Anolis sagrei: one gene and its partners. The protein of the gene in region 4 purifies or fractionates together with the protein of the main gene of each other region. This does not show direct contact. Links are inferred from orthologs where the notes say so. Each region holds a gene or a part of one and is shown on either strand. Other genes may lie near its edges. The genes, in order: PHRF1, RNF111, CEP170 and CSNK2B.

Region 1 (7,425 bases), on a different chromosome or scaffold from region 4:
TGCAAGAGCTGATAATAATTACGGCTAGAAGGGTGAAGTCATTTGCCATTTATGCTAATAATACAATATATTGTATGTACACATAACTTGTAAGCTGCTCTGAGTCCCCTTCAGGGTGAGAAGGGCAGAATATAAATGCCGTAAATAAATAAATAAATAAATGGCAGTGTGGACTCAGATAACCCAGTTCAAAGCAGATATTGTGAGATTTTCTGCCTTGATATTCTGGGATATAGAGCTGTGTGGAAGGACCTATTGTTTACTGGCACTATCTGTGTGAAGTCTGATTCAGTGAGAATATATACTCAGAAGAAATCCTTAGTAAATTCAACAACAGCAAGGACATGCAGAGTTGTTGGCCATGCTGGCTTGCAACTCCCACCAGCCCCAGCCAGCACAGGATTGGAAAGGATGATGGGAGTTGTGGTCCAACATCACTTGGGATTCTGCCCACCCCAGGGCACTCACTGGCGTGTAGGGCTGTAATCCCGATGCAAGGATGGCTGTAGTTGCCCATTTCTGGCTCTTCTGCGTGGCCCCCACTTTGGCAGCTGGGAATCACGTCATTTCATTCTTAGGGGTGCATCTCCACTATAGAATTCATGCAGTTTAAGGCAACTTTAACTGCTGCAGCTCAGTGTTATGGAATCACGGGAAACTGTAGTTTGATAGGGTATCATCATCACCGCTCTCCAGGAAGGACGGTTCAAGATCTTGACGAACTGCAGCTCCCACGATTCCCCAACACTGAGCTAGGACAGTTAAAGCGATGCCAAACCGCATCCACTGTACAGTGCGGATGCAAGCTCAGTGGGGGACTGTGCTCCCGCGGAAATGCTTCTTAAGAAGGCGAGATTTTCCTCGTGGGCTCGTGGCCTAATCTCATCCCGCTATTAATTAATCCCGGGGAGCGCGCGCGCGCGCATAGGGGTCTCTCTGGGATGCAGTTCTGTTCATCGGGTCCCTCACGCGCCGCTCGCTCGCGCCGCCGGAATGAAAGGAAGGGCTCGCGGGAGGCCCCTAGCGGCGGCCGCGCGCCTTGCAGCCTCTTGCCTCCACCCTCAGTTGGGCCCCTCCAAAATGCTCAATGGCGGCTCACGCCCTATTTCCAAGGTGCCCAGGGCAATAAACTCAACTTTAAACGCTTCCCAAATAGGGAATATACTAAATCTGGATTCAGGCACTGGATTATATATGGCAGTGTTGGTACGGCCATAGGAACTTTGAAGCCGTCTACTAAAGTGGCGTTTTCCAAAGGCTGGTCTTCCATATGTTTTGGACTTGGGTTCATCTACACCAGGGGTCCACAAACGTTTTGAACAGAGGGCCAGATCACAGTCCCTCAAACTGTTGGAGGGCCGGACTATAATTTGAAAAAAACATGAATGAATTCCTATGCACACTGCACATATCTTGTTTGTAGTGCAAAAAAAAAAAAACCTTAAAAAACAATATAATAATTAAAATGAAGAATTTTAACAAATATACACTTACTTGTATTTCAATGGGAAGTGTGGGCCCGCTTTTGGCTGATGAAATAGGATTGTTGTTGTTGTGTGCTTTCAAGTCATTTCAGACTTAGGTTGACCCTGAGTGAGGGCTGGGTAAATGACCTTGGAGGGCTGTATCTGGCCCTCGGGCCTTAGTTTGAGGACCCCTAATCTACACTGTAACATTGATATGGTTTGACACTGTTTTACCTTCCATGGAATCCTGAGAGCTGTTGTTTGGGGAGGAACTAGTACTTCTGGGCAAAAAAGGCTAAGGACCTTGTAACACAGGAGCCGCTTCCACACAGCTGTATAAATCCACACTGAACTGGAATATATGGCAGTGTGGACTCAGATAATTTATGCCTTTTTAGGCTATCTTAATTTCTATTACAAGAAACACAGTAACGCAATAAGGAGGCCTTAACAAATCTTTGGCCCTCCACACAGCTCTATATCCCAGAATATCAAGGCAGGAAATCCCACATTATCTGCACTTGGTCTCAGATAACCCAGTTCAAAGCAGATATTGTGGGATTTCCTGCCTTGATATTCTGATATATACAGCTTTGTGGAAGGGCCCTACATCTCATAGCTATTGCTATTAAATTGTGCCAAACTGCATTAATTCTACAAGTGGGGGCCCTTCCACACAGCCCTATATCCCAGAATATCAAGGCAGAAAATCCCACATTATTTGAGTCTGGACTCAAGATACCCCAGTTCAAAACAGATATTCTGGGACATAGGGCTGTGTAGAAGGGCCCGTAGATGCACAATTAATCTCTCAATAGCCACTCTGACCATCTACACTGAGGCCTCTTTCATACAGCTGAATAAAATCCCACATTTTCCGCTTTGAACTGAAATAAATGGCAGTGTGGACTCAGATAACCCAGGGCTCTTCCACACAGCCCTATCTCCCAGAATGTCAATCCCACATTTTCGGCTTTGAACTGGGTTATGAGTCCACACTCGGATAATGTGCAATTTCCTGCCTTGATATTCTGGGATACAGGGTTGTGCAGAAGGGCCCCCAGTTCAAAGCAGATATTGAGGGATTTTCTGCCTTGATATTCTGGAATATAGGTCTGTGTGGAAGGGCCCTGACATAGAATTCAAATTATCAAAGAAGGCAACACACATTATTTGCTTTGAACCTGATTATGGGAGTCTAAACTGCCATATAATCCAGTTTAAAGCAGATAATCTGGAATATATGGCAGTGTAGAAGGGGTCCACATTCACTTGAGACTACTACTATAATGAAACTCAGGAACTATTATTATTATTATTATTATTATTATCATTATTATTATTATTATTGGGTTGATCTGTGTTTGTATGGACTGTATGGCTATGCTCCAGAAGCATCCTTTCCTGACGTTTTGCCTGCATCTATGGCAGGCATCCTCAGAGGTTGTTGTTGTTGATGATGTTTGGTGATATTTTATGATCAGTTGCTTTGAGTGTCCTGCAGGACAGTTAAATTGGGGTAAAAGGTGCGATGCAATACTACCTTTAGCCACTATGTATGTCCCCTTAGGCTCCACCTCTCAAGAACATTGTTGGTGAATCGCTTACTTCAAAAGTTGAGCCTTTTTTTTTTAATAGATGAGCCTTTTTGGATAAATGAGTAAGTAGACAGTCTGTATATACATTTACAAACTTGATGTAACAAATTGTTCAACTGTATGTGTGTATTCATATGTGTTGTTTGTAGACCCAACCACCTGACGAAGGCTCTTGTGAGTCGAAATCGGTTGCAGGTTGGAGTTGAGTCGTGTGACTACTGGAGTCTACTCGTATGCAATAAAGAATAAGATTTATTATCATTCAAGGACTATTAATCACACGAAGGTTTTGTTTCATACTTCAAGAGAAGAAGCAGTTGTTTCTGCTTAATATGAATGTGGCAGCTCTGTGTTTTGTTGATATGTGTATTTGTAATGTATACATTGAGTTAATTTAGATACTTTCACATTACGACAATCAGTGGATTTTGGTCTCCAAAGGTTTTCCCGACATGAAGTCCAGTCATGTCCGACTATGGGGTGTGGTGCTCATCTCAATTTCTAAGCTGAAGAGTCGGCGTAGACACCTCCAAGATCATGTGGCCAACATGACTGCATGGAGTGCCGTGGGGTACAAATAAATATAATAATGATGATAATAATTTCTTACCCGCCTTCCCTCAACCTAGTACACAAATAAAACCATCTGAACACACGTATCCTCTAAAGCAGTGTTTCTCAATGTGGTTTTTCAGATATTCCCAGAATTCCTGATTATTATTATTGGCCGAGGTGGTTGGGGCTTCTGGAAGTTGGGAGCCCAAACCTTTAACCCAGGCATCCTCAAACTGCGGCCCTCCAACTCCCAGAAGCCCTAGCCAGCTTGCTCAATGACCGGGAATTCTGGGAGTTGGAGGCCAAAATAGCTGGAGGGCCGCAGTTCGAGGAGTCCTGCTTTAACCCCTGATGCTAAGGTAGATGTTGTAGTTTGTTGAGAAAGCGGCGCTCTCTGGCAGAGTACGCTTCAGACCTTGTCAAACGACAACTCCCATGATCCCATAGTAGGAGCCACGGGCGTGAGGAAACTGCGTCGTTTCTACAGGGGAGGTAGGCGCATCCCCGAGAGCGACACACTCCTTTTGTAAACAAGGCGCAGACTTCTTTGAGCACCCTCGACTCAGACCCGGCGCATGCGCAGGAGGAGGCTGAGAGGAGCGCGCCCGAAGGATTACCCCACGCGACGATTGGCTCGCAGCTCCCCCCCGCCCCCCCTTTCGTAGTACAGAAATAGAACAGCCCGACACTTCCGCCTCCTCTGGCCCGCCCACCGCGTACGATCACCCGGAAGTGGGACTTCCTTCTCTTCCGGGGCGGCCACGGCTTTGGCCTTCGCATCGGCCCGGCTTACTCTCCGTCCTCGCTAGATATTCTCTTCGTTTCTGCTGTCACCGGAGGCGGGGGCCGCGCGTGCGCATTGCGGTCCTGCTGTTGCCTCCTAACCTGGTAGGGTCCCCTCCTGACAGGTGAGGGGCAGGCCAGCTCTTTACGTATTCCTATGGGGCGGGCGCGGGGGGGGGGGGAGAGGTATGTTGTTGTTATGGAGTCGCCACAATGTGGAGGGAGAAGGAGAAAGGCCTTTGACTGTTGTGACTGTAGTCTAGCGCCATGTCGAAGGCCCCCTTTATAGAATTGGTTCCCGATTAAGAGGTATTTTCGTAGCAGGAAGGCTGTGTGTCTGTCTACACCAGGCATGGGCAAACTTGGGCCCTCTAAAGTGTTTTGGACTTCAACTCCCACAATTCCTAACAGCCGGTAGGCTGTTAGGAATTGTGGGAGTTGAAGTCCAAGACACCTGGAGGGCCCAAGTTTGCCTATTCCTGGTCTGCACTGTGGAAATAATAGATATTGTTGCCTGAATGCATTGCCCCAATGGCTTGGTCCCACAGCCAGGTCCTCACCATCCTTCTGAAGAACAGGAGGGAGGGGGCTGATCTCATATTGCCAGGAAGGGAGTTCCATAGCCGGGGGTCAATCACTGAGAAGGCCCTGTCTCTCATCCCTGCCAAACGTGCCTGTGATGGTGGTGGGACCGAGAGCAAGGCCTCCCCAGAAGACCTTAGTTTTCGTGGTGGTTCGTAAAGGGAGATGTGTTTGAACAAGTAAACTGGGCCGGGGTTGTTTAGGGCTATCTAAAATACATAGATGCACCAACAGTGACCTCTTTTTAAACTGCTTTTCAACACAAAAGTGAGTTTGAAGTATTCTTGAACACAGGTTCATGTTACCTGCATCAATTATCAGTATTAACTCACTCCCTTGGTATCATTTATCTAATTTTACTAATATCTCTTCGAGTATTTAAGGGTAATGTCATAAATGTCTCTGTTAACTTCTAATATTTGACATGTTGGTTCTTTTTCTATGCAGTGGTAGTAATCTGCCAAGTACCAGTAGGAGGGAAAGTATACAAAACTCTTCTAGAAATGGCAGTCATCTACTAAATAACAACAGGAACAATTAAACAGTTGTATTGTATAAGCACCACCCCTTTTCAGCTACACATTTATTTAACCATGCTGCTCTTTTGACAGAACTAAATTTTAACCATGTTTCAGCCTGGTTTGCTCTTATGCTGCTGCTTTTTAAGGCTTACTGGTTTTCTCACACTCAGTTCCAGTGTTTAGCATCTGCAAACTATCGGCCACTTTTGTTTCTGATACTGGCCCAATCCCTAACCCAGCAATGGCTTCTTGTATTGTTTAGTTTTTCCATTTCTTCTTCCTTCCTCTGACTATGTGTGTGTATATATATATATAAACATATTTTAGATCACATCCTTTGGCAGGGTAGGCTGTTTTTGTTGTTTTACTTGTAGAGTTCTGTGTCCATTGTTTACACTATAAACAATCACAGTTGGGAGGAAAGATTATTTAAATGTAGGTGTTTGTCAGTCTTCATTTTTCAGTCACTAAATCCTGGAAACTGTTTAGTCTCTCACATTCTTTGTACAATATGCCTTAGAGTTTTCATTATAATCCTTTTATTGCTATCTTTTAAAACCCAAATATTTCTAGGCTTCCTTTATCACATGAAATTCTTGTGCAGTACTGAGTATAAATAGTTCATAATTTTTATAAAATGGATACATGAGTAATATTCAACTATTTTGTTATATAATATCCATTTTTTAAACAAAAGATCTAAATGCAGACAGTGATGTTATCTAAATCAGACTAGTTTTAGATAACATTATTGTCTGTATTTAGATTTTTTTAAATGAAGAAGGTGCTTGGAGTAGAAGGTGGTAAGATAGGGTAGACAAACTAAAGTATTTATAGCAGTTAGGTAATGCTGCCAGAAAAAATTGAGTAGATTTTTGCCTCAGTGTCTTGTGTTTTGAATGCAAGGCACTGAATTCCCTTCCCTGAATTCTGCACATCTGATAGCAGGGCAGGCTTTTTCAATATCCTCCTGATGTCAGTAGTATGTTTTACTGAGTAACAATAGCTGAGAATCCTTTGTCTCAGCCTCTTTCTCTCTTCCATCTAATTATGTACCTGTTAAACATTTCATTCTAATCTAAAAAACAAAAACAAAAAACAAGATGAAGGTTTTACTTCGTAAATAAATGGGAGATGGCAAAGGCTTGAGGCTCAAGTCTTCTTTTTTACTTCTGCTTCTCTCTACATTAGTGCTACTAAAGCCTTTCTGCTTATAGCCGTTTTCTTCTAACTTGTTGATGAGCAAGAGCAGACCCCTTTTGTCTTTTAGCAACTGGTTAACAAGAAGAACTCAATTAAAAAGTAGGGTTGTAAAATGGAAGGGAAAAAGCAATTTCTTAGTGAGAAATTGAAAAGCCATCTCTCCAAGTTTTGTGAATCTGGTTTTAAAAGGAGGTGTGTGTAGGGCCAGGATTTACCAAGGAAGTGAAGACAATGTAGTTTTTCAGACATAATGATGTTGGGTTTTTGTACCTTGCATTTCTTTATTGATTGAGACCCAAGGAAATCTGTAGAGATCTCAGAATTACTTAAACAAAACTGTCTGCTGTATTAGGCCTTTTGTAAGAGGAACAGACTGCCACTTGCTTTGTGGGAAGGCAAAGGCATCCTGTATATATTCAGAAGTAGAGTTACTGTATTGTTTCTGGATAGGTTTGTTTGGGCATATACCCATATTTACTCGAGTCTAATGTGCCATCAAATCTTATGCGCACCTCAATTTCCAAAACTCTGAAACAAAAAAGGTATTTGTTGGCAAATGTAATGCTCAGCGGCAAAAAGTGCACTCTTTATAATTTGGACAAAAAGGTGTACATTATAATGGTTGCTTTCTTATAATTCCATCTTTAAAAACAGAAGTGTTAGAACACCAAAGCTTTTAGTGGAAAAGAAAACATTGGGGTGCATCTATGGTGTAGA
Region 2 (7,551 bases), on a different chromosome or scaffold from region 4:
AAATCATAATTTTTTGAGTGATGGTCACTCCTTGTGTTGTGAGACATTTTGTTGCCAAATTTGGTGTGATTTCGTTTATTGGTTCTTTTGTTTTTAAGGTACTCATTATGCACAGAGCATTTTTATATACCGTATATAGATAAATCATGCAAAGTCAAGGGGGAACCATGACAGCCTTCCCTCCCCCCAAAATCCTTAAAAGTTCATAAAGAGTTGTGGAATTTCATAAAGGGTTCACTGGGGTTAGGCAGAGGGCGCCTGAGAGTTCCAAAGTTCACCAAAAGTTGATTAAAATTTTAAAAAGTTGCAAAAGTTCATAAAGGTTGGGAGAAAGTTCATAGGGAGCCTTGGAAAGTTCATAAGAGTCCACGGGGAGCACATTGGGGTTACTGTGAGTGCTGATGGTCAAGATCCATTCATTTGAAGAAAGGAAAACTATAAATCCAATTTTGTCCAATGGCCAGAATGCCCCGTCAGAGGTTCAGGATTCCCAAGGGGTGACCACGGCAGGTTCCCCGGGGTTGGCAGGCTTCTGGACACACACAAGATGGAGGCACAAATGTCGCTGCCGCATGGAGCCATGGACCAAAGTCAACTGGTCCCCACATGAGGTTTTGAGATAAAAATGATTTTTCTCGGGGCGCAGGGGTCCATAGTGCAAAAAGCGAGATGGCATTTAGTCTTAGAATTAATCTAGGAAAAAGATGGCACCGGTCTGGAGATGGTCCGTTGACCTGCAGATACGGGGGCCAAATTGATTTCCATATCCACGGTTCAGAGGAACACAGTTTCGGCCTCTCCGGGACGCTGTAAGAGCATCCTTGGCGAGCCAGCAGTGATCTGAAGCTCAGAAAAGGAAAGGTTCATGTTAGAACGGGTTAGAGCAGTGTTTCTCAACCTGGGGGTCGGGACCCCTGAGGGGGTCACGAAGGGGTGTCAGAGGGGTCGCCAAAGACCATCAGAAAACACAGTATTTTCTGTTGGTCATGGGGGCTCTGTGTGGGAAGTTTGGCCCAATTCTATCATTGGTGGGATTCAGAAGGCTCCTTGATTGTAGGTGAACTATAAATTCCAGTATCTACAACTCCCAAATGTCAAAGTCTATTTTCCCCAAACCCCATCAGTGTTCACATTAGGGCATATTGAGTGTCCGTACCAAGTTTGGTCCAGATCCATCATTGTTTGAGCCCATAGTGCTCTCTGGACGTAGGCGAACTACAACTCCCATACTCAAGGTCAATGCCACCAAGCCCTTCCAGTATTTTCTGTTGATCATGGGAATTTTCTGTGCCAACTTTGGTTCAATTCCATTGTTGGTGGGGTTCAGAATCCTCTTTGTTTACATGTTAACTATAAATCCCAGCAACTACAACTCCCAATGACAAAATAAATCCCCCTGCCAAACCCACCAGTATTCAAATTCGGGTATACCAGATATTTGTGCCAAATTTGTTCCTGTGAATGAAAATATATCCTGCAGATTATTATTTACATGGCGATTCATAATGTTAGGGTTATGGTTGGGGGTCACCACAACTGTATTAAGGGGTCGCGGCATTAGGAAGGTTGAGAACCACTGGGTTAGAGGCAGTAAAGGGATACAACATATGACTACAGAGAGTGAAATGTTACAAATAAATACTTCTTTATTGGGGGATAGTTACAATGTTAGGGAAGGGGAAGGAAAGAAAATGGAGAGAAATAGTCTTTAGTTGAATGCTGCTGTGGCCACAGTCTCTTTGTTGCTGGCTCATCCAGATGTTCAGGAACTCTGCTGCACTTTCAGATCAGCTTGAAAGCTGGGGCTTGAGAGCTCGATCTCACATTTCCATTTAGGGGAGATGTAGTTCACCTACATCCCGGAGAGCACTGTGAACCCAAACCACTATGGATCTGGACCAACTTAACACAATACTCAATATGCCCAAATTTGAACAATGGTTTAGACTACTGTAACACTCTCTACGTGGGGTTGCCTTTGAATACAGCTCGGAAGCTCCAACTAGTCCAACGTTCGGCAGCCATGATACTAACAGGAGCGGAGCGCAGGGAGCATACCACTCCTCTGCTGCACCAGCTCCACTGGCTGCCGATCTGCTACCAGGCTCAATTCAATGCTGGCGTTGGCCTTTAAAGCCCTAAACGGTTCTGGCCCAAGCTACCTATCCGAACGTATCTCTGCCTATCAGCCCGCCAGGACCCTAAGATCTTCTGGGGAGGCCCTGCTCTCTATCCCGCCTGCTTCACAGGTGCGGCTGGCGGGGACGAGAGACAGGGCCTTTTCTGTGGTGGCCCCTCGGCTGTGGAACGCCCTTCCCATGGAGGTAAGATCAGCCCCCTCGCTAATGGTGTTCCGAAGAAGATTAAAAACCTGGATGTTTGAACAGGCATTTGGTTAATCAGTGCAATGAATGTGACGATTACAGGAATGGAAATATGGACGACGAATTTGGATCACAACTCTAGTTATGAGATGCATTGTGTTGTTACTGTTGTGTAATATTGTATATTGTGCTCTTGTGGTTTTAAATTGTATATCGTTGATTGATTTTATCCTTGTTGTAAACCGCGTTGAGTCGCCGGTTAGGCTGAGAAACTGCGGTATACAAGTAAAGTAAAGTAAATAAATAAATAAATAAATAAATGGTGGAGTTTAGGGAAAATAGACCTTGACATTTGGGAGTTATAGTGCTTGGATTGATAATTCACCTACAACCAGAGCATTCTGAACTCCACCAATTATGATATTGAGCCAAATTTGGCACACAGAACTCCCATGACCAACAGAAAACACTTGTCCAACTTGTTTGGTGGGCATTAACACTTGTTTGGTGGGCATTAACCTTGGGTTTTGGAGTTGTAGTTTCCACCTCTGCTTGAAGACCACAAGAGAAGGAGATTCCATCATACTTCGAGACAGAAGTCCATTCCACTGTGGGACAGTTCTTGCCATCAGGAAGTTCTTCCTAATGTTTAGGTGGAATGGTCATTTGTGTAAATGTTGAACATTGATGGAGCAAGCACGCTCCCCTGAAGCAGGCCGTTCTTCTGTTTCCGCCATCTGCTTCTCTGGCCCTGAACTCAACAAAAAAGCTCCTGTTTTGTAGCAGGTTTCCTATGAAGCAGGTGAGGTGGTAGTCCTTTGTGATTGTTGTTCATTCGTTCAGTCGTCTCCGACTCTTTGTGACCTCATGGACCAGCCCACGCCAGAGCTCCCTGTCGGCCGTCACCACCCCCAGCTCCTTCAAGGTCAGTCCAGTCACTTCAAGGATGCCATCCATCCATCTTGCCCTTGGTCGGCCCCTCTTCTTTTTACCTTCCACTTTCCCCAGCATAATTGTCTTGTCTAGGCTTTGCTTTCTTCTCATGATGTGGCAAAAGTCCTTCAACTTTGTCTCTAGTATCTTTCCCTCCAATGAGCAGTCGGGCTTTATTTCCTGGAGGATGCACTGGTTGGATCTTCTCGCAGTCCAAGGCACTCTCAGAACTTTCCTCCAACACCACAGTTCAAAAGCATCGATCTTCCTTCGCTCAGCCTTCCCTAAGGTCCAGCTCTCACATCCGTAGGTGACTACAGGGAATACCATGGCTTTGACTAGGCAATGGATCTTTGTTGCCAGTCTGATGTCTCTACTCTTTACTATTTTATCGAGACTGGACATTGCTCTCCTCCCAAGAAGGAAGCGTCTTCTGATTTCCTGGCCACGGTCTGCATCTGCAGTCATCTTTGCGCCTAGAAATACAAAGTCTGTCACGGCCTCCACGTTTTCTCCCTCTATTTCCCAGTTGTCAATCATTCTTGTTGCCATAATCTTGGTTTTTTTGATGTTTAGCTGCAACCCGGCTTTTGCGCTTTCTTCTTTCACCTTGATTAGAAGGCTCCTCAGCTCCTCCTCGCTTTCGGCCATCAGAGTGGTGTCATCTGCATATCTGAGGTTGTTAATGTTTCTTCCAGCAATTTTCACCCCAGCTTTGCATTCATCCAGCCCCGCACATCCTCGAATGATGTGTTCTGCATACAAGTTAAAAAGGTTGGGTGAGAGGATGCAGCCTTGCCGTACGCCTTTCCCAATCTTGAACCAGTCTGTTGTTCCGTGGTCAGTCCTGACTGTTGCTTCTTGGTCCTTGTACAGATTCCTCAGGAGAGAGACAAGGTGGCTTGGGATGCCCATCCCACCGAGAACTTGCCACAATTTATTATGATCCACACAGTCAAAGGCTTTAGAGTAGTCAATTCTAAAGCCTTTGACTGTGTGGATGACCCTGCCATGACTCTCACCCAAAAGCGTCGCACCAGAACCAGACGTGACGTTCAGTGCTTTTGAACCTCTTTACTCCCTGAGGGGGCGGGGCTTAGGAGAGGCGGTGGCGGCGCTGCTTGGCGGCTTTGCCGTAAAGCAATCCCACTGCCGAGTGTCGCGCTGCTGCGTCCGCCGAGCAGAGCGACAGAGGCGGTGAGGAAGAGAAGGAGGAGGAGGAGGAGAGCGGCGCCTGAGGGAAAGCCAGGCCGCGAAGGGGGAAGGAAGGAAGGAAGGCAGGAAGGCTCAGGCCTAAGCCTAGCGGGAGGCCCCACCGCGCACCCTCCGGTGAGTAGGCCCGAGGAGGGCCCCTGGCCTCGGGCATAACTGCAAACGGAGGCCGTGGCTTCGGGGGGAGACTAGGCCCGGCCCGGCCCGGGAGGAGAAAGACACGCAGATCTGCTTGGAGAGAAGGGGGCCTTGTTATATTGTATAGGCCCCTTTCACACAGCTCTCTCTCTCAGAATACAAAGACAGAAAATCCCACATTATCTGAGTGTGGACTCAACTTAGTTCAAAGCAGATATTGTGGCATTTTCTACCTTGATATTCTGGGATATATCTATATGGAAGGGCCCATAGATATAGATACATATGGAGGGAGATTGTGGCTCGGAATATATATATATGTATCACATTATATTATAACACACACACACATATAATGCCATATATATATGTATGTATATAGCTGTGTGGAAGGGCCCATAGATATAGATACATATGGAGGGAGATTGTGGCTCGGAATATATATATATGTATCACATTATATTATAACACACACACACACATATAATGCCATATATATATGTATGTATATAGCTGTGTGGAAGGGCCCATAGATATAGATACATATGGAGGGAGATTGTGGCTCGGAATATATATATATGTATCACATTATATTATAACACACACACACATATAATGCCATATATATATGTATGTATATAGCTGTGTGGAAGGGCCCATAGATATAGCTACATATGGAGGGAGATTGTGGCTCGGAATATATATATATATTTATATATGTATCACGTTATATTATATCACACACACACACACATATAATGCCATATATATATATATATATGTATGTATCACATTATATAGCTGTCCCCTGCCACACATTACTGTGGCCCACATGGGGGTTCTGTGTGGGAGGTTTGGCCCAATTCCGTCGTTGGTGGGGTTCAGAATGCTCTGTGATTGTAGGTGAACTGTAAATCCCAGCAACTACAACTCCCAAATGACAAAATCAATTTTTTTGAGTGAAGGACATATATTGGGTTGTTAGGTGTCTTGTGCCCAAATTTGGTGTCAATTCGTCCAGTGGTTTTTGAGTCCTGTTAATCCCACAAATGAACATTATATATATATATATATACACACACACACACACACATATATACTAGCCGTCCCCTGCCACGCGTTGTTGTGGCCCATTCTGGTGGTTATGGGCTTTCTGTGTGGGAGGTTTGGTCCAATTCTATCATTGGTGGGGTTCAGAATGCTCTGTGATTGTAGGTGAAATATAAATCCCAGCAACTACAACTCCCAAATGTCAAGATTCTATTTTCCCCAAACTCCACCGGTGTTCACATTTGGGCATATTGAGTCTTCGTGTAGAGTTTGGTCCAGATCCATCATTGTTTGAGTCCACAGTGATCTCTGGATGTAGGTGAACTACAACTCCAAAACCAAAGGACAGTGCCCACCAAACCCTTCCAGTATTTTCTGTTGGTCATGGGAGAACTGTGTGCCAAGTTTGGTTCAATTCCGTCATTGGTGGGGTTCAGAATGCTCTTTGATTGTAGGTGAACTATAAATCCCAGCAACTACAACTCCCAAATGACAAAATATTTTTTTTTAGTGGAGGGCATATATTGGGTTGTTAGGTGTCTTGTGTCCAAAGTTGGTGTCAATTTGTCCAGTAGTTTTTGAGTTCTGTTAATCCCACAAACGAACATTACACACACACACATATATATACATACATACATACACACACACACACATATATATATATATACTATCCGTCCCCTGCCATGCGTTGCTGTGTCCCATTCTGGTGGTCATGGGGAGGTGTGTGGGAGGTTTGGCCCAATTTCTGTGTGGGAGGTTTGGCCCAATTCTGTTATTGGTGGGGTTCAGAATGCTCTGTGATTGTAGGTGAACTATAAATCCCAGGAACTACAACTCCCAAATGTCAAGATTCTATTTTCTCCAAACTCCACCAGTGTTCACATTTCGGCTTATTGAGTATTTGTGTAGAGTTTGGTCCAGATCCATCATTGTTTGAGTCCACAGTTCTCTCTGGAAGTAGGTGAACTACAACTCCAAAACCAAAGGACACTGCCCACCAAACCCTTCCAGTATTTTCTGTTGGTCTTGAGAGAACTCTGTGCCAAGTTTGGTTCAATTCCATCGTTGGTGGGGTTCAGAATGCTCTTTGATTGTAGGTCAACTATAAATCCCAGGAACTCCCAAATGACAAGATCAATTTTTTTTAAGTGACGGACATACATGGGATTGTTAGGTGTCTGGTGACCAAATTTGGTATCAATTTGTCCAGTGGTTTTTGAGTTCTGTTAATCCCACAAACGAACACTACATTTTTATTTATATAGATTCCAGGCTTTTATATCCCGTCATATCTCAATCTCCGCAGAGGGACTCGGGATGACTCCGTTCATCCCGAGTTGTTGTTCATTCGTTCAGTCGCCTCCGACTCTTCGTGACCTCATGGACCAGCCCACGCCAGAGCTCCCTGTTGGTCGTCACCACCCCCAATATATATATAGATATATATATACATATCACAAAATATAATAGTATATACATATATATATGGAGCCCCAGTGGTGCAGTGGGTTAAACTGCTGAGTTGCTGAACTTGCTGACCAAAAGGTCGCCGGTATATTTTATTCTCTCTCTCTCTCTCTCTCTCCCCCTCCTCCCCTCTCTCTATAAAACATTATATTATATCTATCTATCTATAGATATAGATCTGGAGGGAGATTGTGACTCAAAGATATATCTAGATCTGCACACACAATTCAATATATTACATAAAACAAGGGTCCACAAACTTTTTAAACAGAGGGCCAGGTCACAGTCCCCCAAACTGTTGGAGGGCCAGATTATAATTTGAAAAAAACATGAATGAATTTCTATGCACTCTGCACATATCTTATTTGTAGTGCAAAAAACACTTTCAAACAATACAATAATTAAAATGAAGAACAATTTTAAC
Region 3 (7,975 bases), on a different chromosome or scaffold from region 4:
CTCTCCTCAATCCATGGGTGGGCCAAGGGGCGGAGCTGCCACGCCTGGCCCGCTTTGGGTCCGGAGGCGTGTCTGAAGATAACAGCGTGCGCACCAAAAGTCGCCTCTTCTCCTGACTTTCTCTTCAGCCATTGGGACCAAGAGAGAGAGAGAGAGAGAGAGAGAGAGAGAGAGAGAGAGCCCCTCCAGCTGGAGGTATCTCCCACCTCCACTCCCTCCTTTGATTTTGCGCCTATCTTCAGGAAAGGTGGGCCTCCCCACCTCTCTCGGTCCCAATGGCTGAGGAGAAAGTCAGGAAAAGAGGTGACTTTTGGTGCATACGCCGGGGTCTTCAGGCACACCTCCGGACCCAAAGCGGGCCAGGCAAGGGAGCAAGTGCGGCAAGTGTAGTTACTAGGATGTATAGTTCATGTACAATCAAAGAGCACTCTGAACTCCACCAATGATGGAATTGAACCAAATATGGCACACAAAACTCCCACAATGAACAGAAAATATATATCAATGATTGGTTGGGGTGGGGGGCAAAATACTGTTTGCTTACCTTTGAAAATTACCTAGGGCCGGCTCTGTGTCTAGTGTTGATGCGCCCTTAGTCAATAACGCTGAAGCTTTCAAACTGTTTCTGAACTGAATACATCATTAATTTTACATTAGTAAATGTTTTGGTTAATTAGAATTCTTAATTTCCATGTTCCCATGTTCTTGAATTATGTTTGAGTTGAAGTCCAAAGTACCTGGAGGGAGGGCCCAAGTTTGCCCATGCCTGTATTTTTGTTTTTGTTAGGAGCGACGAGAGAATTGGCCATCTGTTAGGACGCTCAGTTGTTTGATGTTTTACTATCCTTGTTGGAGCTACTCTCATGTCCCCGCATGGGAAGCTGGAGCTGACAGAGGGAGCTCAACCCGCTCTCCCTGAATTCAAACTGCTGACCTGTCAGTCAGGAGTCCTGCTGGCACAAGGGTTTAACCCATTGTGCCATAGGAGGCTCCTATGTTATATCAACCAATAAATAGTGAAGCACTTTGTGGCACCTGTATTTTTCAACGAATGACAAACTTAATCATGTTGGGGGGCGGGGGTTGTCTAGTTTGAAAACTTAATTTGAATTGCATTTTAATCTTTATATTTAATGACAGATGGACACCAAGAGGCCATCAAGGGGCAGACCTCACACTTGATGGGAGAAACCAATGGTTAAACTATTTGGCCAGAAATTGAAAAGAAAAGCATAGGATCCTATATTTTGGCAAATGGTAGATTTGCATAAAGCCCAAAGGAGTCGATCCATGACAAATAGAATAGAATAGAATTTAATGGCAAATATTTCATTGTTTTTTTAAAAAAATTATATTCATACTAACATGCCTTGTTTTTAATTTGTATTGTATTGTATAATATTCACTTGAGTCCCTCTTTTGGGAGAAAGGTGAGATAAAAATGTGTTTGTAAAGGTAAAGATTTTCCCTGACATTAAGACTACTCATGTCCAACTTTCAGGATTGGTGTTCATCTCCCGTTCTAAGCCGAAGAGCCAGCGTTGTCTGTAGGCACCTCCAAGGTCATATGGCTGGCATGACTGCATGGAGCACCGTTAACTTACTGCCAGAATGTTACCTATTGATCTACTCACATTTGCATGTTTTCGAACTGCTAGGTTGGTAGAAGCTGGGCTTAACAGCAGAAGCTCACCTTGCTCCCCGAATTCGAACTGCCAACTTTTCGGTCAGCAAGTTGAGCACCTCAGCAGTTTAACCCACTGTACCACCAAACAATAAATTTTACTACCACTTTGTGGCACCTATATTTTTTAATGAATGACAAATTTAATCGTGTTGGGGAGGGGGGCTGCTGAGTTTTAAAATATAATTTTAATTGTATTTTGATTTTTATATTTAGTGACAGCTGGATACCAAGAGGTCACAAGCAGCCTTGGGAAGAACTCGTACTCGATGGGATGACCAAATGGTTAACTATTTGTTCAGAAATGGAAAAGAAAAGCACAGGATCCTATATTTTGGTAGATTTGCACAAAGCCCAAAGGAGTTGATCCACAACAAATAGAATAGAATAAAACAGAATTTAATGACAAAGATTTCATTGTTTGAATTTTTATATTCATACTAACATCCTTATTTCAGGAGCAAGGCGAGATAAAAATAAAGTGTGTGTGTGTGTGTATTGGCAGTTAGGAAGTGGGTGTTGCCACAGCTACCATCGAATTGGAAGAGACCTCCAAAAGCCATTCAGTCCAACCCCATTTATTTATTTATTCACTATATTTCTATCCCACTCCTCTAACCCTGATGGGACTCAGAGTGGCTTGTTTCTCCCTTCTCTGCTATATAGAAGAAACCAGGAGAAGATTATCACTCCACCTAAGGAACTCACCACTTCCACCCCATGCACCAGGAAATCATTGTCGGCTAGGATCATAATTGTTGCGTTTTCTACTTTCTGGATGATACAATTGTCTAAAAGGAGGTGTTTGTTAGACTTCACATTCTTGGTAGAGTTTGTCTTCCAACAAATGTCAGGATAGTTAAAATCTTCCATTATTACTATATTTCTCGTTGGTCATCTAATCTAGAAAGCTATCGTCTAAGTTATCAGTCTGGGTTGAATGCCTGTAGTAGACCACCACAACAACATCCCTGTTGTTTCCATGACATAAATCCTGGCTTTCAGGATTTATGTCACAGATGTCCACACAAGGTGTAAACATTCTTGATATACAATGCATCTCATCCTCCTCCTTTCTTGTCAACTTCTTGACACTGTACTCCAGTTGATGCAGCATAGAATCGCATTGGTTTTCTTAGGTGCCACACTGCTGACTCATGTTCAACTTGTGGTGTATTATGACTCCTAAATCCCTTTCACATGTACTGTTTTCCAGCCAAGTGTCACCCATTCTATATCTGTGCATTTGATTTTTATTGTCCAAGTGTAGTACCGTACATTTTTGCCTGTTTAAATTAATTTTGTTAGTTTTGACCCTCACAATTACACAATGACCTCCCTCTTCTCTCACTTTAATTTTTTCTCCACATGCTCTCATCTTGGCTTCACAGGTATACTATCCTTGATTATATAATGTGACTCATCTTACTTTCTTGTTTGATCTGTTTCTCAGAAAAATATATCCCTCTATTACTACCTTCCAATCATGAGATTTGTCCCACCAGGTTTCAGTGATCTATTTTCTCACAAATTTTTAAGAGTTCAACTTCATCTTGTTAATTGATTGTGGAGTAGTGTCAAAGATCATTCCTTCTAGTTGCTTATTTTCCCACAGTAACAGCTGGGCCATTAATATCTCCAACACTTAAAGCCCTCCTAACCAGATGTGTAACTCTTACCAAACACAATTGGTCTTCTGTTGTCGTGGATTCAACTAAACACGGCTTCAAAATATTTTTTAAAATCCCAAAAAGCAAACCCAGTTCAAAGCAAATATTGTGGGATTTTCTGCCTTGATATCCTGGGTTATATGACTGTGTGGACGGGCCCTGGGTTATCTGAGTCTACACTGCCATGTATTCCAAGTCAAAGCAGATAATGTGGGATGTTATTCATCTGTGTGGAAGGGGCCTAAGGCTCCTTCCACACAGCTGAATAACATCCCACATTATCTACTTTGACTTGGAATACATGGCAGTGTAGACTCAGATGTTGTTCATTCATTCAGTTGTCTCTGACTCTTCGTGACCTCATGGACCAGCCCACGCCAGAGCTCCCTGTTGGCCGTCACCACCCCCCCAGCTCCTTCAAGGTCAGTCCAGTCACTTCAAGGATGCCATCCATCCATCTTGCCCTTGGTCGGCCCCTCTTCCTTTTGCCTTCCACTTTCCCCAGCATAATTGTCTTCTCTAGGCTTTGCTGTCTCCTCATGATGTGGCCAAAGTACTTCAACTTTGTCTCTAGTATCCTTCCCTCCAGTAAGCAGTTGGGCTTTATTTCCTGGAGGATGGACTGGTTGGATCTTCTCGCAGTCCAAGGCACTCTCAGCACTTTCCTCCAACACCACAGCTCAAAAGCATCTATCTTCCTTCGCTCAGCCTTCCCTAAGGTCCAGCTCTCACATCTGTAGGTTACTACAGGGAATACCATGGCTTTGACTATGCAGATCTTTGTTGCCAGTGTGATGTCTCTGCTCTTTACTATTTTATCGAGATTGGACATTGCTCTCCTCCCAAGAAGTAAGCGTCTTCTGATTTCCTGGCCACAGTTTGCATCTGCAGTAATCTTTGCACCTAGAAATACAAAGTCTGTCACGGCCTCCACATTTTCTCCCTCTATTTCCCAGTTGTCAATCATTCTTGTTGCCATAATCTTGGTTTTTTTGACGTTTAGCTGCAGCCCAGCTTTTGCGCTTTCTTCTTTCGCCTTGATTAGAAGGCTCCTCAGCTCCTCCTCGTTTTCGGCCATCAGAGTGGTGTCATCTGCATATCTGAGGTTGTTAATGTTTCTTCCAGCAATTTTCACCCCAGCTTTGCATTCATCAAGCCCCGCACAGACTCAGATAACCCAGTTCAAAGCAGACATTGTGGGATTTTTTGCCATGATATTTTGGGTTATATAGCTGTGTGGAAGAGGTTAACACTGTTTGTGCCAATTACTTTGACTGCATTTTGAGTCTTTTCTTGTAATCGTAACACAACAGGACTGATCATTTTTAGCAGGACTGATAATTTCTAACCATCTCAGAAGAACAGATAACTCTATTTTCCATTTCAGCTGCTCTTCAACCGGTACACGAACTATTTTATGGCCAAACGTTTGTTTTGTTTTGTTCTTTTCTCTGCCTCTTTCTATTGTCTACAAAGAATTTGATAGCGCAAGCCGCCTTGCGCCTGCGCACTAGGTTATTTCGGGGGCAAAGCATTTTGTGCCCCCCCCCCCGCCTGTGGCTATGTGCGCGAGTGTCGCCCGCGTGCGCGCTTGTGTGTCAGTCAGGAGACAGCGCCTGCGCAGTAGTTCTTCTCGCCCGCGCCGCGCCGTTAGCCGCGCAATACGCTGGGAATAACGTTAGAACGGTTTACAGAAGCGCGCGCGACGCAGAGAGAGAGAGAGAGGGGGAGGGTCCTCGCGCGCCCTTCCCTCCCTCTGGGCCCCTCCCCCTCCCTTCCCTTCTCCTTGCTCTGGAGAGGGAAGATGGTGGGCCTCTGAGTCAAGGGCGCGTCTTGTGGCTTCCCGAGCGGGGTGAGTGATGCTGCGCCGGGCCCAAGGCCCTTTTTGCCCAGATGGGTGGGATGTCCCCTGTGCCTCCCTCGGGGAGAAAGCGCCGCCAGTACAGGCCTTTGTGCGCCCCCGCCCCTTCCCTTCTCCTTCCCTCCCCCGAGGCGGGTGTCTGCAGCACCCCGGCCGACGTTGTTGTGGCTGTTAGGAGTGGGACCTGCCCTTCCCATCTCCCTTTTTGTTCTCTTCTGTGACCACTGTTGCGTCTCCAATGGCTTGCCTCTCTTGAGACTCAGGGAAGGCTGCAAGGGCTGTGGGTGTAAGAGGAGGGACGGCCCAAATTGCACCCAGGTGGAGCCTTTTCCCCCCCATCCAGCCTGGATCTACACTGCCACCTAATCCAGTTTCAGGATGCCTTGAACTGCATTATATGAGTCTACACTGCATTCAGAAACTGGATGTTATATGGCAGTGCTGATGGGACCCCAGAAAACACACCCAGGCAGGCCCCTTTTACACTACCATATAAAATCCAGATTATCTGCTTTGAATTGGATTATATGGCAGTGTAGAAGGGGCCTCAGAGGTGCCTGAAGAGGGCCTTGCCTCTCTGTTTTGTTATTCTTCCTATCCATCTCTTCCAACTATCTCGATTCTCCTTTGTCCACATATTTCTGATGGCGCAGGCTTTTGTGTGTATATGCCTTTGTAAAAACAATCCAGCCAATTGAAGAGTGTGTGTGGTTTGTGCAAAAAAAGAGTAATAATCCGAGCCTTTTGTATTCCAATATTTCCTTCATGTATAAACACCCCATAATAATAATAATAATATGAGCCTTTTGTATTTCAATATTTCCTACATGTATAAACACCCCATAATAATAATAATAAATTGAGCCTTTTGTATTCCAATCTTTCCTACAGCTTAAGTATAAACACCCCCAATCTAAGGTCATAATATATTTTTAGATTACTGTAAAATTAGACTTTAAAAATATCCCCCCCCCCCCCAAATAACATAGGTATATATGTTTTTTAATGTAGTCTTTGGTCAGAGAACCGGCTTCTCAGAAGCGACACATATCAGGCTGTTTGTGGAAAGCATCCTTCCAAATTGTTCATTTTGTGCATGTGGGAGGCGTCCTAGTCATAGCTGCTTTCTTGGAAGTGAACTGCATTGGTTGCAATGCTAATAAACAAATCTTTGAGTGGTTTTGAAAGAATCCAGCATTTTATGAAAGAGGAAGCTGACTCGATGAAGGAAGCATATGACAGCTTTACAGATGAGCTGCCTTTTGTGATCTCATCTAGTCATTGCCTGGAACCGGATGCTGGGGATGGGGGAAGGGAAGAGGAGGGCTTCTGCCCAGAACTGTTTTCTAGTACAGCGTGCACTTACAATTCAGTTAGCCTCTGGCATCAGGTAAGATATTGCTTTTGCATCTGAGCAGGAAGTCATTGAATGCATTAAATGGCTATGGCTGTTCAAAAGATGGCACACACACAGAAGAGCTACATTTTGCTTAAGAGAGCAATGGGTTTGAGTTACTTATTATTTCTCAACTAATTTTTAAATATCTGCTGGTAACAAAATTGCATCAGATAAAAGCTAGTGTGATTTTCTTTTCAGCTGTTAGCAAAGAGCAAGTAAACAAGCAGTGTATGGTGAATACTTGTTCAAATTGTTTCCTTATGCAATAGGAGCAAAGCAGATTCTTTATACATTATTTATTTGAAACAGTATACAGTACTCAGGTTTTTAACATGAGAGTATTTGGTGCCATGCTTTTATACAATGCAACCAAGAGGAGTTTGCCAGCACTGAATTGCATTCACGAGTGGAAGGGTTGGAAGGAGGAAGAAAACTTGATGTAACAAAGCTTTAAAAATGTAATGGGCGCAGAGGAAAATATGTAGCCCCCCTAAAGAATATACTAATCTTTAGTCTAGTATAGTGCATTAATTCCAAAAATATGTTTGTGATGAATAATAAAATCATTTAGAGACTTGCAGATATCTTGTAGCTGACAAAAATCAAGGGCCGGTGCCTCAGTATTAATGCCTCTTGAACAAGAACCCAAACTTTGATTTTGAATGCAAAAATGCCTAATTTTAATCTGTATTGTACACGAAGGGATATAATAAATAATAATAAATAATAACAAAACTTTATTTGTACCCCGCTACCATCTCCCCAAGGGATTCGGTGCGGCTTACATGAGGCCAAGCCCACAGCACATCAATAAACAAAAGCAATAACAATAATCAATACAAAACAGTTAAAATAAACTCAAAAACAGAAAATACACAATAAGCAATAAACAATAACAATATCAAAGCATACAGCATTTAAAAACCTATGTGATGTTACTTATGGAGCCCGCCTTCCAATATAAGGAAGTGAATTAACATTGAGTGAACTGAGCAGTTGCTGAAGGAGTTGCTGCAAACAGAACAACCTTGGTAATGGTTGACAAGGAAATCAGGGACACAAGAGAGCAGTGATCCAATAAGAAGGGGAGGAGAAATTAAAAGAGCCACCCAGAAGAACCATGGGGCTGGAAGATGTGCTGTTCAGTACTTTTTCAGTCAGGTTGATTGTCAGATAAAACAATGAAGAAAAAGACTAATTAAGCTTAAATTTTTCTTTTTTGAATGTGAATAGTTACTGAGAAAGCATGCATAATACATGCTTCCTAAAAGGTACTGATTTCCAGCCAAATAGAGCCTTGTGTGCAAGCTAAGATCATAAAAGTATAATTTTCAAGTGGGTGTAGCATACTTGTCTTTTGT
Region 4 (8,069 bases):
GCTGCCGCAAACTACGTTGAATTGGTCGAGACTCTAGGACAGGGGTCCTCAAACTAAGGCCCGGGGGCCGAATATGGCCCTCAAAGGTCATTTACCCGGCCCTCGCTCAGGGTCAACCTAAGTCTGAAACGACTTGAAAGCACACAACAACAATAACAACAATCCTATCTCATCAGCCAAAAGCAGGCCCACACTTCCCATTGAAATACTTAAAAGTTTATATTTGTTAAAATTGTTCTTCATTTTAATTACTGTATTCTTTTAAAGTGTTTTTGCACTACAAATATGATATGTGCAGTGTGCATAGAAATTCATTCATGTTTTTCTTAAATTATAATCCGGCCCTCCAACAGTTTGAGGGACTGTGACCTGGCCCTCTGTTTAAAAAGTTTGAGGACCCCTGCTCTAGGAGATGTCTACGACAGACATCAGAAGAGCTGCAAGACCAAGAACAAGCCATGAAAGTAAATACAAAGATCCACGCAGAGGAAAAGTATTCTTACCATACATCAAGGGAACCACTGGCCACATAGGGAAGCTGATGAAGAAACACAACCTAAAAGCAATCTACAGACCCACCAAGAAAATGCAACAAATGATACATTCAGCGAAGGATAAGAGGGATCCTCTAACCACTGCAGGTGAAATGAAATGAAATTAAACTATGTCCCTGAAGGGACTCAGGGTGGCTTACAGCAAAATAAACACAGTGACAAACATTCGATGCTGACAGTAATATATAAACAAATCATGGACAAACTCTAAAAAACAATAAGATATAATATAATCCAAATAGTTCAAAAATATTAAATCCTTAAAATCTCTTTTAAAAGATATTTTAATGAGATTTTACCATAGACTGTGCAGCTGTGGATGAGTCTACATAGGGACTGCCAAACACAGCATTGCCCAGACATGAATCGAAGATCATGAAAGCCATTCACCGGGATTGTGGCGCAGCTGGCCAAGTGTCAGCTGCATTCAGATCACTCTGACCAAAAAAGGTCATGAGTTCGAAGCCAGCCCGGGTTGGAGTGGGCTTCCAACCAGTTGTGTAGCCTGTTGTCAACCTTTGCAACCTGAAAGACAGTTGCATCTGTCAAGTAGGAAACTTAGGTACCACCTTGTGTGGGGAGGCTAAATTAACTAATTTATGAGGCCATAAAAAAGACTCCAGCAAAAACACTCCAGCAAAAGCATGCAGGGAATGCGGAAGTACTTCTTCAGATACGTTGTATGCCAAAACTGGCATTGAATGTTTGCCATATATGTATACACTGTAATCCGCCCTGAGTCCCCTGCGGGGTGAGAAGGGCGGAATATAAATAGTGCAAATAAATGAATGAATAAATTCAAGCAGAGAAGTCAGCTATAGCAGAGCATTTGATGAACCAACCTGGACACAGGATAATACTGTATTTGAGAACACACAAATGGTGGGCCACTCTGACAACCACTCTGCTGAACCACTCTGAGTCTCCTTTGAGGAGTTAAAGCAGGGTATAAATATAATAATAACAATAACAACAACCATGTCAGACTACACAGAGAAGTCACTGAAATCCCCAAATATGTGGGCAACTTCAACAGAAAGGAGAAAACAATGATAATGAACAAAATCTTGTTACCAGTATTAAAAAAAAACACCCAAATCAAGACAGTAAATAAGGAACACCACTCAAAAACAGGGGAACTCCAGACATCAAGCAATCAAGTGCCAGCTAACACCTCACAAACAAAGGATGCTCCTGGGCAACAACAGCAAGGCTTTGAAACAGCAAGGCTACTCCATGCTAATCAAGCTGGCCAATTGCAACATTCACACTTGCTCCAAACAGACAAGAGTTCTTTCTCCTATGTGTAACACAATTTCTGTTCCTGGGTTTTAAATGTCATTTCCTAATTGGTTCTATCATAAAAACATAGGAAAAGTTTGTTAAACTGCAAAAACTGCAGGGACATCCTACAGCACATTTTGCGATAGTTTTTCAATGAAAATTGAGTCTCAATCAATTTAACAGTTTGTGACGGCCACAAAAATGGAAGTTTCTGGAGTGTAACACCTCCTTTCAAAGTATGTAAATGCTTTGGTTGCTGTATATTTTTCAGGCTGTATGGCCATGTTCCAGCTGCATTCTCTCCTGACGTTTTGCCTGCATCTATGGCTGGCATCTTCAGAGGTCTGCTGGCAGTGAGGCAAGTGGAGTGTATGTGGAATGTCCAGGGTGGAAGAAAGAGCACTTGTCTGTTTAAAGTATGAATGCTGCAGTTAGCAAGCTCGAATAGTACTGGGTAGCCATAAAGGTGCATAGTCAATCAGTGGGGGTATCTGCATAGAGGTAACCAGGGCTTTGTACCACACCCACTATTTGGGAGGTGTTAACTGGCACATGATTGTTTGGTATCTGGAGCTCCCCAGTTTCTGAATGGTGTTCCTTATTTACTGTCTTGATTCTGGTGTTTTTTAAACTGACAAGGGTTATTTCTCCCATCCTGGACATTATTACACTCCACTTGCCTCACTACCAACAGACCTCTGAATATGCCAGCCACAGATGCAGGTGAAACATTAGGAGAGAATGCAGCCGGAACATGGTCATACAGCCCAAAAAACTCACAGCAACCTGGCGATTCTGGCCATGAAAGCCTTCTACAACATAGAAACACAATGTTTCAAATGTTGTTACACAGTGTTACCTTACTTCTAGTCCCTTCAAACCATAGACTTGTGATAAAGGACACAGTGATTCTCAGAGAAATGTTCTCTCTAAGTGCCCTTCCACACAGCCCTATATCCCAGAATATCAAGGCAGAAAATCCCACTTTATCTGAGTGTGGACTCAGATAACCCAGTTCAAAGCAGGTATTGTGGGATTTTTTGCCTTGATATTCAGAGATATAGGGCTGTGTGGTAGGGCCCTAAGAATTTGTTAGGTCCTAGTGTAGAGCTTCTTTCAACCTTTTCCCCACTTGTGACCCCTTTCTAACCCCTAAAAATCATGTGACCTCAGGTATATAAAATAGGTATAAAAATAAATAATAATAACAAATCAGCATATGCCAGCTTATTTTCCATTCTATGAAGAACAACTGAAGCATTTTCAGCAGAGTCCACAGTAAACATTGCAGAGAAAGTTCATGTAAATGCCTAAAACAACGACTAGATTAGAGTTAGCCGATTTTTTCTGGACCCCAACATTGAGCAGAGGGCCCCAGTTGGGCTCAGGACCCACAATTTAAATCAAGGGTCCTCAAACTAAGGCCCGGGGGGCGAATACGGCCCTCTAAGGTAATTTACCCAGCCCTCGCTCAGGGTCAACCTAAGTCTGAAACGACTTGAAAGTACACAACAACAACAACAACAACAACAATTCTATCTCATCAGCCAAAAGCACACCCACACTTCCCATTGAAATCCTAATAAGTTTATATTTGTTAAAATGGTTCTTCATTTTAATTATTCTATAGTTTTTAAGTGGTTTTTTTGCACTTCAAATAAGATGTGTGCAGTGTGCATAGGAATTCATTCATTTTTTTCAAACTATAATCCGGCCCTCCAACAGTTTGAGGGACTGTGACCTGGCCCTCGGTTTAAAAAGTCTGAGGACCCCTGATTTAAACAATAATGTTCTAGTGCAGGGCTTTTAGGCCCCTTCTACACTGCCATATAATCCAGATTATCAAATCAGATAATCCACATTATCTGCGTTACACTGGATTATCTGAGTCTACACTGCAATATAATCCAGGGCCCTTCCACACAGCAATATAACCGAGAATATCAAGGCAGAAAATTCCACAATACCTGCCTTGAACTGGATTATCCAAGTCCACACTGCCATATATTCCAGTTCAAAACAGAAAATGTGGGATTTCCTGCCTTGATATTCAGGGATATAGGTCTGTGTGGAAGGGCCCAAAGGCTTCCTTTTCCCTCTGCAGAGGCTGAGGGCCCTTCCACACAGCCCTATATTCCCAAATATTAATGCAGGAAATCCCACAATATTTATTATTTATTCATTTATTTACTTCATTTGTATACCGCTATTCTCAGCCCTAAAGCGACTCACAGCGGTTAACAACAATCAAGCAAAGCAAGACAAGGCAAAACAATGAAAGCAAAAATTCAATGCGGCATCAACAAGGTATTTAAAAACAATCAACACAGAAGCAAACTAAACAATTAAACAGTAGCAAACATTCAAGTGGCGTCTCATAACTAGAATCATGATCCAAACTCGTCAATCGTAGTTCCATTTCCTGAATTCATTGCACTGCCTATTCAAACCCCTGTTCAAATAACCAGGTTTTCACTTTTCTCCGGAATACCATCAATGAGGGAGCCAATCTAATGTCCGTGGGAAGGGCGTTCCACAGCCGAGGGGCCACCACCGAGAAGGCCCTGTCTCTCGTCCCGCCAGCCATGCCTGTGTTGCAGGCGGGATCGAGAGCAGGGCCTCCCCGGAAGATCTCAAAGTCCTAGTGGGTTTGTAGGCGGAGATGTGATCGGATAGGTAACAATATCTGCTTTGAACTGGGTTATCTGAGTCCACACTCATATAATGTGGGATTTTCTGCCTTGGTATTCTGGGATATAGGGTTGTGTGGAAGGGTCCCCAGAAAATCAGTTTGAACTCTTGAGTCCACAGTGACATATATTCCAGTTCAAGGCAGATAATGTGGGATATTCTGCCTTGATATTCTTTAATATCAAGCTGTGCGGAAGGGCCCTTAAGCGCCTTTCATTTGCAGGTTGGGAGTTGTAGTTTCAGAATATACCAATATCTTTTGAAGCCGAGAGGACTTAAAGGTCATTTGGACTCCATTTCCCAGCGCGCCCTGCGGCCTAGCCCCTGCCTTTGAGCTTCCTTTCCCGTTGCACTCTGGGGCTTGGAGTCCCTCCTCCCTTGTTCCCCTGCGCTTTCTTGGCGCCAAAGAACTACAGTCCCGCGATGCTTCGCTGCCAGCGGCAGTGGCGCATGCGCGGTTGAAGCTGGCCGAGGCCTTAGAGGTCCGAAGCTTGTTTGCGGCCCCGGCTTCCTCTCCTTGAGGCAGTTTTGCCCCCTGGGGTGAGTTCTGAGGGGGTCGTTTTAGGGAGTTGCTCCTCGGGAAAGAGAGGCGGGTGGGGTGGGATTCAGGCTTCCGGGGGGCTGTGTTTGGGGAAGACATGGGAAGGGGAAGAAGGGCTGCGTGCCGGTCTCATGTTTGTGGCCAAAGGGTACGCATAGAGGTGAAGCTGCTTCTTCTCCTTTCCATGGAGGGAGAAAGGCCTCATTTGCACTACCATATAAGGCGGATCGAAACACAGGAAGCAGAAACGTACAACCTCCCCAAACCCTAGGCCCCATCCGCACTGTCACATAATGCATTATAGGGTTAGAGTCAAATCATATAATTCGTTCCAAAATGGCCATACAGCCCGAAAAACTCGCAGCAACCCAGTGATTCCAGCCTTCAACAACACAATGTGGTGTAACTGTTCTGAATTGTGTTGGGCGCCTCTACAGTGTAAACCAGGCATGGGCAAACACCCTAAATCAAGAAATAGTTTTCTGAGAACTATAGAAACACTCACAGGAACACCTCAGCAAACGAGAGTCCAAAAGTGGCAGGCGAAAACTCAGAACCACAATCCATGACTGATACCAAATGAGAGACTTCCTCCTGGGCACACAGAAAGCTTGATTCCACAACTCCCGTTAAAATGAGCCCTCCTCCGTAAATTACCTGCTTCTTATTTATTTATTTATTTACTGCATTTGTTGATCGCCGTTCTCAGCCCTAGGGCGACTCACAGCGGTGTACAACATATAAAAACAGTTTACAATAAGGGAATATCACAACAATAATATCAATATAGCAATCAAATAATACAATTACACTAAATCATCCGCGCCGTCTCATCGTAGAATCATATACCAATCTCATTATCCATATTCCGTTCCAGTCATCATTGCCAATTGTTGTAGCACTTAGTCAAACGCCTTCTCAAATAACCATGTCTTTAGTCTTTTGCGGAATGTCATAAGGGAGGGCGCCTGTCTGATGTCTACAGGGAGGGCGCTCCACAGCCGGGGGGCCACCACCGAGAAGGCCCTATCCCTCGTCCCCGCCAGGCGTGCCTGTGAGGCAGGCGGGATCGAGAGAAGGGCCTCCCCAGACGATCTCAAGGTCCTCGTGGGCTCATAGGCCGAGTTTTTAATTAGTTTAATTATCTCACCCGAGTTTTTAATTAGTTTTAATCAGTTTGTCTTTTTAATCACGACATGTAGCCTGCCCACTATTACTGTGCCTGTGCGTATTGTAATTTTTATATTGTTATGTATTCATATGTTTTATGTAACTATGATGATATTGTTTATTTGCGTTTTCGGTTTCTGTTTTTGGTTTTTCTTTATTGTAATTGTCATTTGAGCTTGGCCTCATGTAAGCCGCTCCGAGTCCCCATTGGGAAGATGGTGGCGGGGGTATAAATAAAGTTTATAATATTATTATTATTGGCGCTGAACAGACTGCGCTCTGGCACCACGAGATACAGAGCCACAAAGTGGAGTCCACGGCATGCGAGTGAGGAGAAGAGCAAACCACAGACCACCTATTACAAATCAATCTGAGCCCTGCTACATGCACAATGAAGGATCTTCTTATAGCAACACCAGAAGCACTCCAACTGGCCAGCTACTGGTCAAAGGACATTTAATAGAATAACAAGTTTGCAAACTTTCAGTTTTGTTTGTTTGTTTTTAATGCAATACAACTGTTTGGTTTGCTCCTGACATGATAAATAAATAAATTGGGTTCTTATAGGTTTTTCGGGCTATATGGCCATGTTCTAGAGGCATTTTCTCCTGACGTTTTGCCTGCATCTATGGCATCCTCACTACCTCTGAGAATACTTGCCATAGATGCAGGCGAAATGTCAGGAGAGAATGCCTCTAGAACATGGCCATATAGCCCAAAAAACCTACAACCCAGTGATTCCGGCCATGAAAGCCTTTGACAAACAAACAAATAAATAAATAAATACCATCAGATATACTATTTGAAGGGCAACCAACCGTGGCTGAAAGAAAAAGGACAAGTTTGTCCTAGACTTCTGTGCCAGAAACAAGCTTGTGTTGCTGGAAGTGAGCCTCTGGAGACCACTGAGCATTTCATCAGGGACTGCCCTTTGACCAAAGAGACCTGGCAAAAGGTGGCCATCGTCTTTGACTGGTCGGACTTGGTGCTCCAACCTTGGGATGCTGTGGCCTCTGGAATGGAGCTGGAAAACTGTATTTAGGGGCAACGTCGACACTAAGGAAGGAAGAGGAAGAGGGGGCAGAAGGCGTACACTCAAGAGGTCTTTTGGGATGTTCCTTGGTCACCGACAAGGTTGATCAACTTGTATGTTCTCCTGGCCCTGGTTTTACAGAGACGTCAAGAAATAACAACTCAAAACCCAGCAAATGTTACCTCTAGTGTAAATTGGGGAGCAGAGAAAATAAGAGCCCTGAGTAAAACGGAACAAGGCAGGATGCCTTCTAACTGATGGAAAAGCTCTTGATACCATAAATAAAAATAAAATGGGCAAACTTGGGCCCTCCAGGTGTTTTGGACTTCAACTCCCATCATTCCTAACAGCCTCAGGCCCCTTTCTTTTCCCCCTCAGCCGCTTAAGCAGCTGAGGGGGAAAAGCAAAGGGCCCAAGACAGAATTGTGGAAGTTGAAGTCCAAAACACCTGGAGAGCCCAAGTTTTCCCAGGTGAAAACTCAGATAATACTGTTTCACTGCACTGAGCTGCATTATATGAATCTGCACTGACCCTGTAATGCAGTTTCAAATTACATTATATGGTAGTATAGATGGGGCCAAGGTTTGGGAGTTCTCTGTCTCTGGTATGTATACAGAGAGCCTTTAGTTGGTACATAACGGGCAAAGCCACTGAAAATAGTACCTGTGGAGCAGGACTTCTAGAGAAGCCTTTCACAGAGTTAGTTTCTGGGTAAGCAGGGAGAATAGCCAGGTGAGTTATGGTGAAAGTGTGGTTGCTTATGTCTCTCTCTCTCCATGTTTCCAGAGGGCGGGA

Evidence for each region.
Region 1: the proteins of CSNK2B (region 4) and PHRF1 purify together in Homo sapiens (affinity purification with mass spectrometry; 3 studies listed by BioGRID and IntAct, with this or other methods). This does not show direct contact. The link is inferred for Anolis sagrei from reciprocal best matches to the Homo sapiens genes CSNK2B and PHRF1.
Region 2: the proteins of CSNK2B (region 4) and RNF111 purify together in Homo sapiens (co-immunoprecipitation; 3 studies listed by BioGRID and IntAct, with this or other methods). This does not show direct contact. The link is inferred for Anolis sagrei from reciprocal best matches to the Homo sapiens genes CSNK2B and RNF111.
Region 3: the proteins of CSNK2B (region 4) and CEP170 purify together in Homo sapiens (affinity purification with mass spectrometry; 3 studies listed by BioGRID and IntAct, with this or other methods). This does not show direct contact. The link is inferred for Anolis sagrei from reciprocal best matches to the Homo sapiens genes CSNK2B and CEP170.

What each region holds. Positions count from the first base shown.
Region 1 is NC_090021.1:240,404,115-240,411,539, forward strand, and holds the start of PHRF1 (PHD and RING finger domain-containing protein 1), read left to right. Parts: upstream 1-4,340; 5' UTR 4,341-4,507; exon of another isoform or gene 4,508-4,527; intron 4,528-7,425.
Region 2 is NC_090029.1:12,186,842-12,194,392, reverse strand, and holds the start of RNF111 (E3 ubiquitin-protein ligase Arkadia), read left to right. Parts: upstream 1-4,400; 5' UTR 4,401-4,586; intron 4,587-7,551. UniProt on the Homo sapiens protein: E3 ubiquitin-protein ligase. Required for mesoderm patterning during embryonic development. Acts as an enhancer of the transcriptional responses of the SMAD2/SMAD3 effectors, which are activated downstream of BMP.
Region 3 is NC_090021.1:55,663,870-55,671,844, forward strand, and holds the start of CEP170 (centrosomal protein of 170 kDa), read left to right. Parts: upstream 1-4,968; 5' UTR 4,969-5,206; intron 5,207-7,975.
Region 4 is NC_090022.1:19,659,789-19,667,857, forward strand, and holds the start of CSNK2B (casein kinase II subunit beta), read left to right. Parts: upstream 1-4,959; 5' UTR 4,960-5,069; intron 5,070-8,060; 5' UTR 8,061-8,069. UniProt on the Homo sapiens protein: Regulatory subunit of casein kinase II/CK2.